3 linked regions of the Coturnix japonica genome follow. The protein of the gene in region 1 interacts with the protein of each later gene in a pairwise test. Links are inferred from orthologs where the notes say so. Each region holds a gene or a part of one and is shown on either strand. Other genes may lie near its edges.

What was found.
Region 2: the proteins of RINT1 (region 1) and LMO2 interact in binary tests that used the Homo sapiens proteins (3 or more experiments, as listed by UniProt). The two-hybrid records come from large-scale screens. The link is inferred for Coturnix japonica from reciprocal best matches to the Homo sapiens genes RINT1 and LMO2.
Region 3: the proteins of RINT1 (region 1) and SH2D4A interact in binary tests that used the Homo sapiens proteins (3 or more experiments, as listed by UniProt). The two-hybrid records come from large-scale screens. The link is inferred for Coturnix japonica from reciprocal best matches to the Homo sapiens genes RINT1 and SH2D4A.

What each region holds. Positions count from the first base shown.
Region 1 is NC_029516.1:12,589,252-12,593,006, forward strand, and holds the start of RINT1 (RAD50-interacting protein 1), read left to right. Parts: upstream 1-1,248; 5' UTR 1,249-1,409; coding exon 1,410-1,586; intron 1,587-1,654; coding exon 1,655-1,896; intron 1,897-2,750; coding exon 2,751-2,924; intron 2,925-3,000; coding exon 3,001-3,150; intron 3,151-3,755. Other genes in the region: PUS7 (pseudouridylate synthase 7 homolog), read left to right, coding at 191-327. UniProt on the Homo sapiens protein: Involved in regulation of membrane traffic between the Golgi and the endoplasmic reticulum (ER); the function is proposed to depend on its association in the NRZ complex which is believed to play a role in SNARE assembly at the ER.
Region 2 is NC_029520.1:6,404,862-6,407,335, reverse strand, and holds the end of LMO2 (rhombotin-2), read right to left. Parts: intron 1,548-2,474; coding exon 1,328-1,547; 3' UTR 553-1,327; downstream 1-552. UniProt on the Homo sapiens protein: Acts with TAL1/SCL to regulate red blood cell development. Also acts with LDB1 to maintain erythroid precursors in an immature state.
Region 3 is NC_029519.1:30,066,479-30,070,133, forward strand, and holds part of SH2D4A (SH2 domain-containing protein 4A), read left to right. Parts: intron 1-181; coding exon 182-329; intron 330-2,813; coding exon 2,814-3,030; intron 3,031-3,655. UniProt on the Homo sapiens protein: Inhibits estrogen-induced cell proliferation by competing with PLCG for binding to ESR1, blocking the effect of estrogen on PLCG and repressing estrogen-induced proliferation. May play a role in T-cell development and function.

The DNA.
Region 1 (3,755 bases):
GTTAAATGGAAGATGGTTTACAACATTCTGCTTTACACTATGGATTGTAGACTGGGGTGTGGTGGTCGAGGCTGTTGTATGAGATCAGGGATGGCGGTGGAAAACTTTGGTCCGGTTTGGATGGCACTCAGAGTAAGCATTATTTATGTTCTTTACTTTCTTTTTGCTTTGTCTCTCCTCTTTACGATAGATGGTAAATTCCGGGCACTGAAGATGGAGTTCTCCCTTCCGCCATCCACTTACGCCACTATGGCGATCCGAGAAGTTCTGAAGATGGACACAAGCATTAAAAACCAAACGCAGCTGAACACTACCTGGTTACGCTGAGTGAACTGCTGGCACGGCCTAGATTTTAACATGTACAAAGTGTTTTCCTACTTACGTTCTGTACAAATCTTTGAAGGGTGGCAGTGAGAGATTTGTATTTTTTAAGTTTTTATTAGTGCAAGCAGTTAAATTAAGTAGTTATTAGCAAGATGCCGGTTGTAATGTAATACGGGCCTTAGTGACTGGTGCTTTGTAACGAATGGACCATGAGGTCGCTTGAGCTGTGTTGCTGCATCTCTGAGAAGCAGGCTTATGGCTTCTGACCTGGGCACATGTTCGTCTCGCTCTGTTTCAGCGAGCAGTGAATGTTTTTATCAGTTCAGCACACCTTGAGATCTCTATATTAAAGTACAGCATTAGGAAAATTAGAGCTGAGTGAAGGTACTGATGGCTGTTTGCTTCCAAGAAGCTGCTGCGGTCAGCCGGGCTGGCTGTGTGCTGCCACAGGGCACAGCTGTTTTAATTAAACACGAGCTTCTTCCGGGGAAAATGTGTGCATTTTCAGCTTCACCAAGACAAGGTACTGGGAATAGTTAACCAAACACAACGGTGTGTCAGTCCGTAGCGCCTCGCTCTGTCCCTGGCTGAGCCAGCCTGCTGCTGGGAGGCAGAACGAAGCTGCATTTTAAACGATTCTAAACCAAATAGGGAATTCGTGCTGCTTGTGTGAATAAAACGCCGTGAACGGAAGGTGCTCCCGGCTCTGTGCTCCCTGAGGTGGGGTTATGGGGGAGCTGTGTGGAAGGGGCGGGCGCGGCCATGGGGGTGGCTGAGGGGGAGGCGGGTGCGCATGCGCCTCTGGGCCCGCCCCGGCTGTGATGTGTGCGGCCTTGGGCCGCGCTGTGCTGACGCGGCGGGGCGGGGAGCGAGGGGCTGCGGGGCCGGCGGTTTGATATTGCTATTAAAGGCCTCGTTTTAAAGGCCGGCATGGCTATTAAAGGCCTCGTTTAATGTTCAGGTGAAGAGGAATCGCCCTGCGTTCCCAGGAGCCCCGTGTCCTCAGTAGGTCGGTAGTTGGTCGTGTTCCCTTAGTGGTAACCAAGTAGAAATTACGTAAATAACATTGCGGAAAAAAAGAAGGCATGGCAGCCGTTAATGTGCCGAAGAAAGAAGTCGTCAGAGATCCGGATCGCTGCGATATCCCGTACTACGTTTCAGAATTTGTGGAAAGAGAAGTTGGGAATGACTATGATTCTCTGAAGAAGCTGGGCAGCCTCATTGAGAAGCTGTCTGAAAACAAGAGGCAGCTGGAAGAACAGGTAAGTGTCTGTGCTCATTCTCCGTGTGATTTTTCTGTGTGAGGCTTAATGCATGTCTGTAAATGCAGGTTCTCACGGTTTCATCCGAAGTCCCTAAAAGAATTCAGAACGCCTTAAAGAATGCAGAGGACTCAAAACAATCTCTGAATCGGCTTCTAGAGGAAGAAACTCTCCTGTCCGATTCCATCAGCAGCCACTTAGAGAAAGCTGAGCCGTGGATGGAGGATCTCGGGGTGCTGATCAGCCAGGTGGAGGAGATTGAGCATCACCTGGCCTATCTGAAATGGATTTCCCAAATAGAAGAGTTAAGGTAAAGCCGATGTACTTATGGAGAGTTCTTACTAGTGGTATCACACAGCTTCTTCAAAGATTCAGTGTTAAATAATCACATTTAAGGAATAAACGAGAGCAGCAAGTTGTCATCTGGCCATATAAACTGTTAACGTGTTCTCTGGTGAGAACTGGAAGTTATTGCTCTGGCTTAAGGAAGAGAACAGTAACTGTGTCGATATGTGGATGGAACTCTTTCACCCACTGTAAATTATGGTGTAAGAACTAAAATAATACTGGAATATCTTGAGCGGAAATGTTACGCTTCAGACTTCGTGATTCTGAGTTTTCATTCTGGTACACTGATTTTATCGTAATGGGAATGAACAGTGCTGTTTTAGTTAATGTGATTTGTAGCTTCCTTCAGTGGAAAACTTTGTGTAATGCTTGTAAAGAATGTCAGAAATTGGAAGATTCCTTTGGGTCAGATTTTGTACAGAGAGACTTAAGTTATGAAACAACTTGGTCTGAGCTATGAAAATGTGACAGGTGTGCTGCAGTCTGAAATTTGCTTCCAGTTTTCCTCCTGGGAAGCGTGAGGAAAAGCAGATCTTTGAACAAGTTCCATAAAGAGCAGTGCTTCAAAGAACTTCGGGCCTCCCTTCTTTCCTTCTGCCTTCAGGTCTCGGTGACAGGCAACTTAAGGAACTTCACACAAAGAACTTGTTTCGTGAATCCTTGCTGTAGGATGTATGTGATGGGAGTGGTAACCTCGTTAAAGTATTTCAGATTGAGCATGTTTTCTGCCAGTTTCTCAATATGATGGTTCTTTTGTGTTATCTTTAGTGAATTTTTGTCTCAACTCTTCTTGTATTTATGTTCTTGTGTTCATAGTGATAACATTCAGCAGTATCTGATGACCAACAATGTTCCGGAGGCAGCCAGTACTCTAGCGTCTATGGCAGAACTGGATATTAAACTTCAGGAGTCATCTTGTTCTCATCTTCTTTCGTTTGTGAGATCCACTGTTAAATTTTGGCATAAAATTCTTAAGGACAAGTTGTCAAGGTACAGGACGACTCATCACTCCCTCATTTCATGTTGTGCCGTAGCTTGGTGGTAAAGTGTGTGTTTTGTGTTGCAGTGACTTTGAAGAAGTGCTGACCCAGCTTCGTTGGCCATTTGTGGGGCCACCGCAGTCTCAGGCGTTTGGCCTTACTGCGCCAGCCAACGCTTCTGATGTTTACAACAATTTAGAGGTTTTGTTCTGCCAGCTTCTGAAATTGCAAACATCGTATCCTTTAAAAGTGTAAAGAAAATTGCCTTGGGGGTGTTGGTTGGTGCTTAGCTAAACATGAGCCAGCAGTGCACCCAGGTGGCCAAGAAGGCCAATGGCATCCTGGCTTGTGTAAGAAATAGTGTTGCCAGCAGGAGCAGGGAAGTGATTGTACCCCTGTACTCAGCTCTGGTGAGGCTGCACGTTGAGTACTTTGTTCAGTTTTGGGCCATTCACCACAAGAAAAACACTGAAGCCTTGGAGTGTGTCCAGAGAAGGGCAACAAATCTGTTGAGGTGTCTGGAGCGCAAGTCTTGTGAGAAATGGCTGAGGGAAGTGAGATTGTTCTGTCTGGAGAAGAAGAGGCTCGGGGGAGACTTCAGCTCTCTCTACAACTGCTTGAATGGAGATTGGTGTAACTGGTGATAGGGTGAGGGAACTGTCTCAAGTTGTGCCGGGGGAGATTGAGGTTGAATATTAGGAACAATTTTTTCTCTGAAAGAGTGGTCAGGCATGGGAATGAGCTGCCCAGGGAGGTGGTGGAGTCACTGTCCATGGAGGTATTCAAGAAACATTCAGGTGTTGTACTAAGGGACGTGGGTTAGTGGAAGAATATTGGTGGT
Region 2 (2,474 bases), on another chromosome or scaffold:
CTTCTGGACTTTAAGGAGACCAAAACTTTAAGAGCCAGAAAGAGACGAGGCGAACTCATGGAGAGTGGGTCCAAGTTGGCATTAAGCACTGGAGCCTGAAGGCAAAGCTCAGAGCTTTTAGGGCTTTAAACAGAAATCTTTCTAAACATTAGTCAATTTTTACTGGCTCAGGTTATATTATACTCATTTCATTGATCTGGAGCAAAATCAGAACCTAACCCTGCATGACCTCCTCTAATCAGGCAGCTTATTCTTATGCTACAAAGTATCACCCAAATGTACTTCATGGCATCATCCAACCTCAAAACATCCTTATTAGCACCAAAGGGTCCATGTCACACAATACTACCGCATTGTTTCTTAATATGAAGAACTCCATAAAGCTTCTTGAGGCTGACAGGTGTTCTCCTGTTGCTGCTTTGAAACACAACCTTAAGTGAATTCAGCAATTAGCTGTAGTCCAAGTGCAGAAATCCCGCTACAAAAAATAAAAGAAATGATGCAAACAAAGTATCTGGTATGATGTCCAAGAAAGAAATAATAACACTCAAATCTTCTGTCATTTTTATTAAAGCTGCAGAGTCTGACTACACACAACAAATATTTTATCGATATAATCTAAGTTAATAAAATAGTTGAACAACTCTTTCAATTTATATTTGTATAGAAATGATCTATGGAACATCTCATCTTGAAACAGCAGTGCCTGAAAACAACTATTCAGCAGGACTTTTTTGAAGAACAGTTTGGGACTAGAGGATGCACTCTTCATTCTCACAGAAAAAAAGAATCCATGCAAAAATAACCCCTACCCTCTTCCCCCATTCTCTCCTAACCCAAAACATAAGGCCTTATCAAATGACCACATAAGGGACTGGCCCTTTGTTTTTCCAGCATTCCTCTTCATGTCTACATTAGGAGCAGTTGTCTAAACTGAGTAACTAAAACAAGTTGAAAAGAAAAATCAATTGCACAATCCTAGTCTGCGGGTGACAAAGTCATAACATCTCTTTACACAAGTCACTACTGTTTTTCCAGTTATGAGCATTCATTATCACATTGTGTTTGCTCCCCAGCTCTTGCCTATCTGGTTGATGTCAGTTATTGTCGATACGCCAGAAGTCAGTCTATCTAATATTGCTTCAGTCTCCCTTCTTCATTTATATGTAGCTTAGATTCTACGTAGCACTGCCTGAAAAGGGCCTACTCTGTGGTATTTCCCCCCTTTTTTAGACAAAGCACATAGCTCAGGTGGTATCTCCTCACTGCAGCTACGTGCCTGCATCGCCCGTGAGATGTCTTTTATAGATCATGAGCCACCTCTTTGCTATATCATTCCATTTATCTTAGTCCACTCATAGATGTCCTGTTCACATACTATGTCCGAGTTGATGAGGAGGTATCTGTCCCCAACACAGAAGTGTTTCTGGCAGGCCGCGCATTTGAAGCATTCAAGGTGATATACTTTGTCCTTCACCCGCATGGTCATCTCATAAGCCCGGATCCGTTTGTCACATGAAGCACAGAGGCCATCTTGGCCAAAGAGCCTAAAACAACAACAGCAAAGAAGCAATTAGAGTTCTTTTGCTGGAGAGGTGGGGAAAAAAATAGTCAAAACAGGAACACGGCATCAGTGCATTGCCTCATTAGTCGTACGACTGCGAAGATACATAGAGGTCACATAGAAAGCTGCTGAGCAGAACTCAGATCTTTGAAATACCAAAAACTGAGGTAGAAAGTCCAAGGTCTTCACTTATTTCTAAGGTAATTGGCTTCTGTGATTAATGACGTTAACCTGAAACACTGAGCAGCTTCAAACAGAGTAAAGGTTCACCAGATCATAGCATAAAATTGTGTGATGCTAATACTTGCTCTTATACCAGCAACAGACATTACCTTTCAGCACCTCTATCTTCAGCTGTTGCTATTGTCGTTCACAGGAAAAAGTTGCCACATTATGACATAGCTACCATTTAATATTCTACTGTCTGCATTCATTGCTGCCACATTTGACATTCTTTCAAGCTCACATATTTCTGTATTCATGAAATCACTCCTGCTGGGTTTCAGGATACATGCTAAGACCTTACAGGTACTCTGCCGTTACAGAAAATTCTATGTTCTGGACTGTTCTTTTCTGAAACAGATTGAGATTTCCTGCTGAGATCAGTATGATATTTTCTATTAAAAGGAGCCCCTAGCAAAGGCACCATGTATGTGTCTCCCTCACAGCATGTGCCAGAATTCTCAGCTGAAGCAGAGCAACACACCCAGCCATGTGTGAGGACAAAATGAATGGCAGCATTTCACACAGTCTGCTGGTTACAGAGTTTGTAAGTCATATCATTAATAAATAAGGGACATATATAGAGTATGTATAAATACAAAATCATAGAATCATTTAGGTTGGAGAAGACCACTAAGATTATCACGTATATTCTTAGAAGGAGGGAGAAATCCTATTACTTGTGTAA
Region 3 (3,655 bases), on another chromosome or scaffold:
ATTCCATGTTATTTCTGTTTTGCCCTTCTTTCTCTGTCATAACCCGCAGTAAAGTAAGAGGTTCTTTGAAATCAAAGGGATTCACAACTGAGAATGGAATCCCTAGTTTTTCAAAACTAGCTAAAAAGCAGGACTAAAACTAGCCTGGGACAAAGCACTGAACACATCATTTCTTTCACAGATGAAGGGAGGACACAGGAGAAATTCAAGAGAAGAGACTACAGTCCAGCTGAAGGCAATACCACAAAGCCATGTACCACAAAGCCATGCATGCTCAGAGAAGACGTTGCAGAAATCTGATGAGAATGAGCCTGAATGGCAAGAATCCTGTAAGATCTTAGGATGATCTTTTGTAAGAACTTTTCCTATAGGGCTTGAGAAATCTTAGAGCTCTGAGTGGTCATTTCAGTCATTCTCCTGCAAAACTGGAACTCAGTATTTCTCAGTTAGTAGGTAGAGAGTACTGTCAAAAAACACAGAGATGCAGCATCAGAAAATTTTCCGAGTCCACACAGCATTGAAACTAGAGCTGGGCAGTGAGATGGCAAATTTATCCTACAGAAAATTCTCCACTTGTAAATATTTCCCATTTTCAGTCTCTTCTGTATTTCGATTAAAGAGCTTTTGTTTTTAATTGAAAGATAATAGATTTAAATATTAAGCAATGTCAAGCAGAATGAGTCTTGCTGGCATTTGACAGCCCTCAGATACCATATGAAAATGATAGGACCCACATGAGCGTAGCCAGGGTAATTAATTTTAAACTAGAAGTAGGCCCTTGGCAGAAACTTGAAGTAGATGTTGCTCATGTGGAAAAGAATAATAGGTAGTGAGGACAAACTAAAAGGCATAATTTCAAAAGCACCTGGTTGATAGCAAACTTTTCAGACATCAGAAATGAGTGGGGAGGGCTTTTGCCACTTACTTAATTCTGTGCAGAAGATCCTGAGGCCTGAGTAAGGCTCCTTCTTACACAACAGAACTGTATTGTGGTGAGGTAAGCTGATCTGAGACCTCAGAAATAATGTGAAAGATGAAAAAAAGTATTGCATAAAACACAAAAAAGGGGCCACTCCAAATCTCCCTGCTTTCTACCTTCCCTTCCTTGAGGTAGGACTTGATGATCTTGGAAGTCTTTTCCAACCTAAGCAATTCTATGATTCCCTGCGAGGCACAGTCCTCTCATCTGGTTCCATTTCAGACACAAAAAAATCTCATTGATCCAGAGCCCTGCCACACATTGCTAATGTAAAGATTTAAACAACTGGATCAGAAATGACAAAACAGTGTAAGACTTACATTAACGTCTACCACTGCTGCCAAGTATGTCCTGAACTCTCTACTTAAGTTATTACGATGACTACATTTCCTTCTAGGATCTCTCATAGTAACCACATACCTCAAAGGTGATTTTTCAGTGTAGCCTGAGTTGAAAAGATATTTCAAACTTGACTCCTTTTGAGGGAATCTTGCTGTGCAGCTTTCTCAGAGACTGGAACAAAGGGTCACAAGCTTAGTACACAGAAGATATTGAGATACACCCTGACACTCTGTTTGCCTTTGTTTCCATCCAGGTTCACGTTCTGCTCCTCACATCTTCCTTTCCTGGGGAGAAAGAAAACTGAAGTCAAACTTGATGCTTTTTTTTCCCTCACTGTTCAGTAGATGGCAATACTGTACTATCATTTGTCTCCACTTTAGGCCAAACCTTTTTTGTTTCTAATTAAAAAATTGAATTTGATTACAAAAGCACAGAAATCACTAAGCATAGCTCAGGCTGGAGAGCCAGTTACTCAACAAAAACAAACAAACAATAATATCCAGCTAAGTTCTCTACTCCACAAAACAGTTACAGCAACACTCCCTTCTCTTTGCAAGGCCCATCAGGATTTTCAAATCCTTTAGAGGATTCATTAGTGGTCGTTTCAGCAATTTTTTTGCCTCCCCGGTCTCCTGGAAATAGAAACAAATGTTTTTGTTCATGTATTGCTGTGGCTTTTCCAACATTATCTTACCACATGCAGTGTAAGATCTCTCTAACTCCTGATCTTATCAAAATTGCAAGGACTGCCTCAGTGCACAAATTAAAATGAAAGGCTGAAGGGCCCTTTGCTTCTCCCATCCTCCTTTCTCCCACCCCTCCAGCTTTTCAAGAAAGACATAATGGTACAATTTGTAATTGAGTGAGGATTTTAATTTGACAAAGTAATTGTGCTTCCCTCCTCCCCCCCCCCCCTCCCAAATTTCATTCCAAAAAGTCTGTGGGCCAGCTGAAAACATTTATTTACCTGATTGGATAACTGTTCCTTCTTGCTCAGGTCTCCGCTCACACAAAAGGCATCACAGAAATTTATGACTGAACCAAGTCACATGAAACAAAACCAAGTCATTTCTAAGTACAAAGTTAGAACCCAGATTTTTATCTGTTGAAGGAATAAGAATTGGGTTCTTTTAAAACAGTAGATGCCCAAAAGTGATGGGAGAGAGGTAACAAACGTTGTTACAGATAAGTGAATCTTTCATTCAGTGGCCAGAGTAGCTGAGTCACTCAAGGCTTGCGAGGAAGATAAATGACTTCCAATACAAGCAACCTAAGATGCCTGCTTGGAAATAGAGGAGAGGAAGTACCTTAGTTCCAAAGCTCTCTCCCTCCACAGTAACACTGTTTGTTCCTAGTGCTGGGACACAGAGAGAACCTAAATGCTCCGAAATGCGTTATTTCTCACCTCCAGCTATCAGAGAGATGGCTAAGCAGCAGCAAGCTCAGAACTTGCCTGCTTGTTCACTCCAGTATGACTGCTTTTCTGTTCCAGTGCGGAAATCCAAGGCAGCAGATGAGAAGAGACGCTCCCTCGCACGACAGGCCAGAGATGACTACAGGAGGCTTTCACTGCAGGGAGCCCACAGAGGGAAGCAGGCAGACATATCCAAGAACGCCACAGCAGGAGATCGGCGACCGCTCCAATACCCTCCTCTCCCACCCAAGCCTAAACTTCTACCTCCTGTGACGACGAATGGCAGAGCAGTTAGGTGAGAAAAATGTGCACTGTTGAAGGGAAGGGAAAGGGGATGAGATACTTCTGCTCTGGCAAGGGCTGGTTGAGATGAAGATGCCTGTTCTCTTCATACAGAGGAAACACTCTACTGGGAAAAATAAGAAGGCTAAACTATATTCCAGCATAGGGTATGAAGACTGTGGCACTAAAAACAAAGACAATGGCACATTTACTGAGTACCAGCATCACAAGATTTGCATTGCTTGCTTTTGCCCAACTGAGAGAAATGTCCCTAAATCATGAGAGCTGCTAATCAGCAAGCCCTCAGGTCCAACACCTCAACTATCTCAGTTGCTCCTAGTCACCATTCTCTTAGCTCTGCCTTTCTTAGCCATCTCTCCAAACACCCAGCCTCTCAATTATACTGAGCTCGTAGAGGTACAAGGCATTTTCCAACAGTCAAGTTCTCTTTTTGCCATATGTGAAAGTCAGATTCAGTGACAAGTTTATATAACAGAACACCCTAAGCCTAAAATATGTAGTACGTCCTCTTTGATAGGTGTCCACTGAAAACCATACAATTTTGTTCATAGCTGCATTACTGTAAGCCTTCTATTTAGCATTGTTCCTATCACGCTGAACAAAAAGCAATTCTTGCC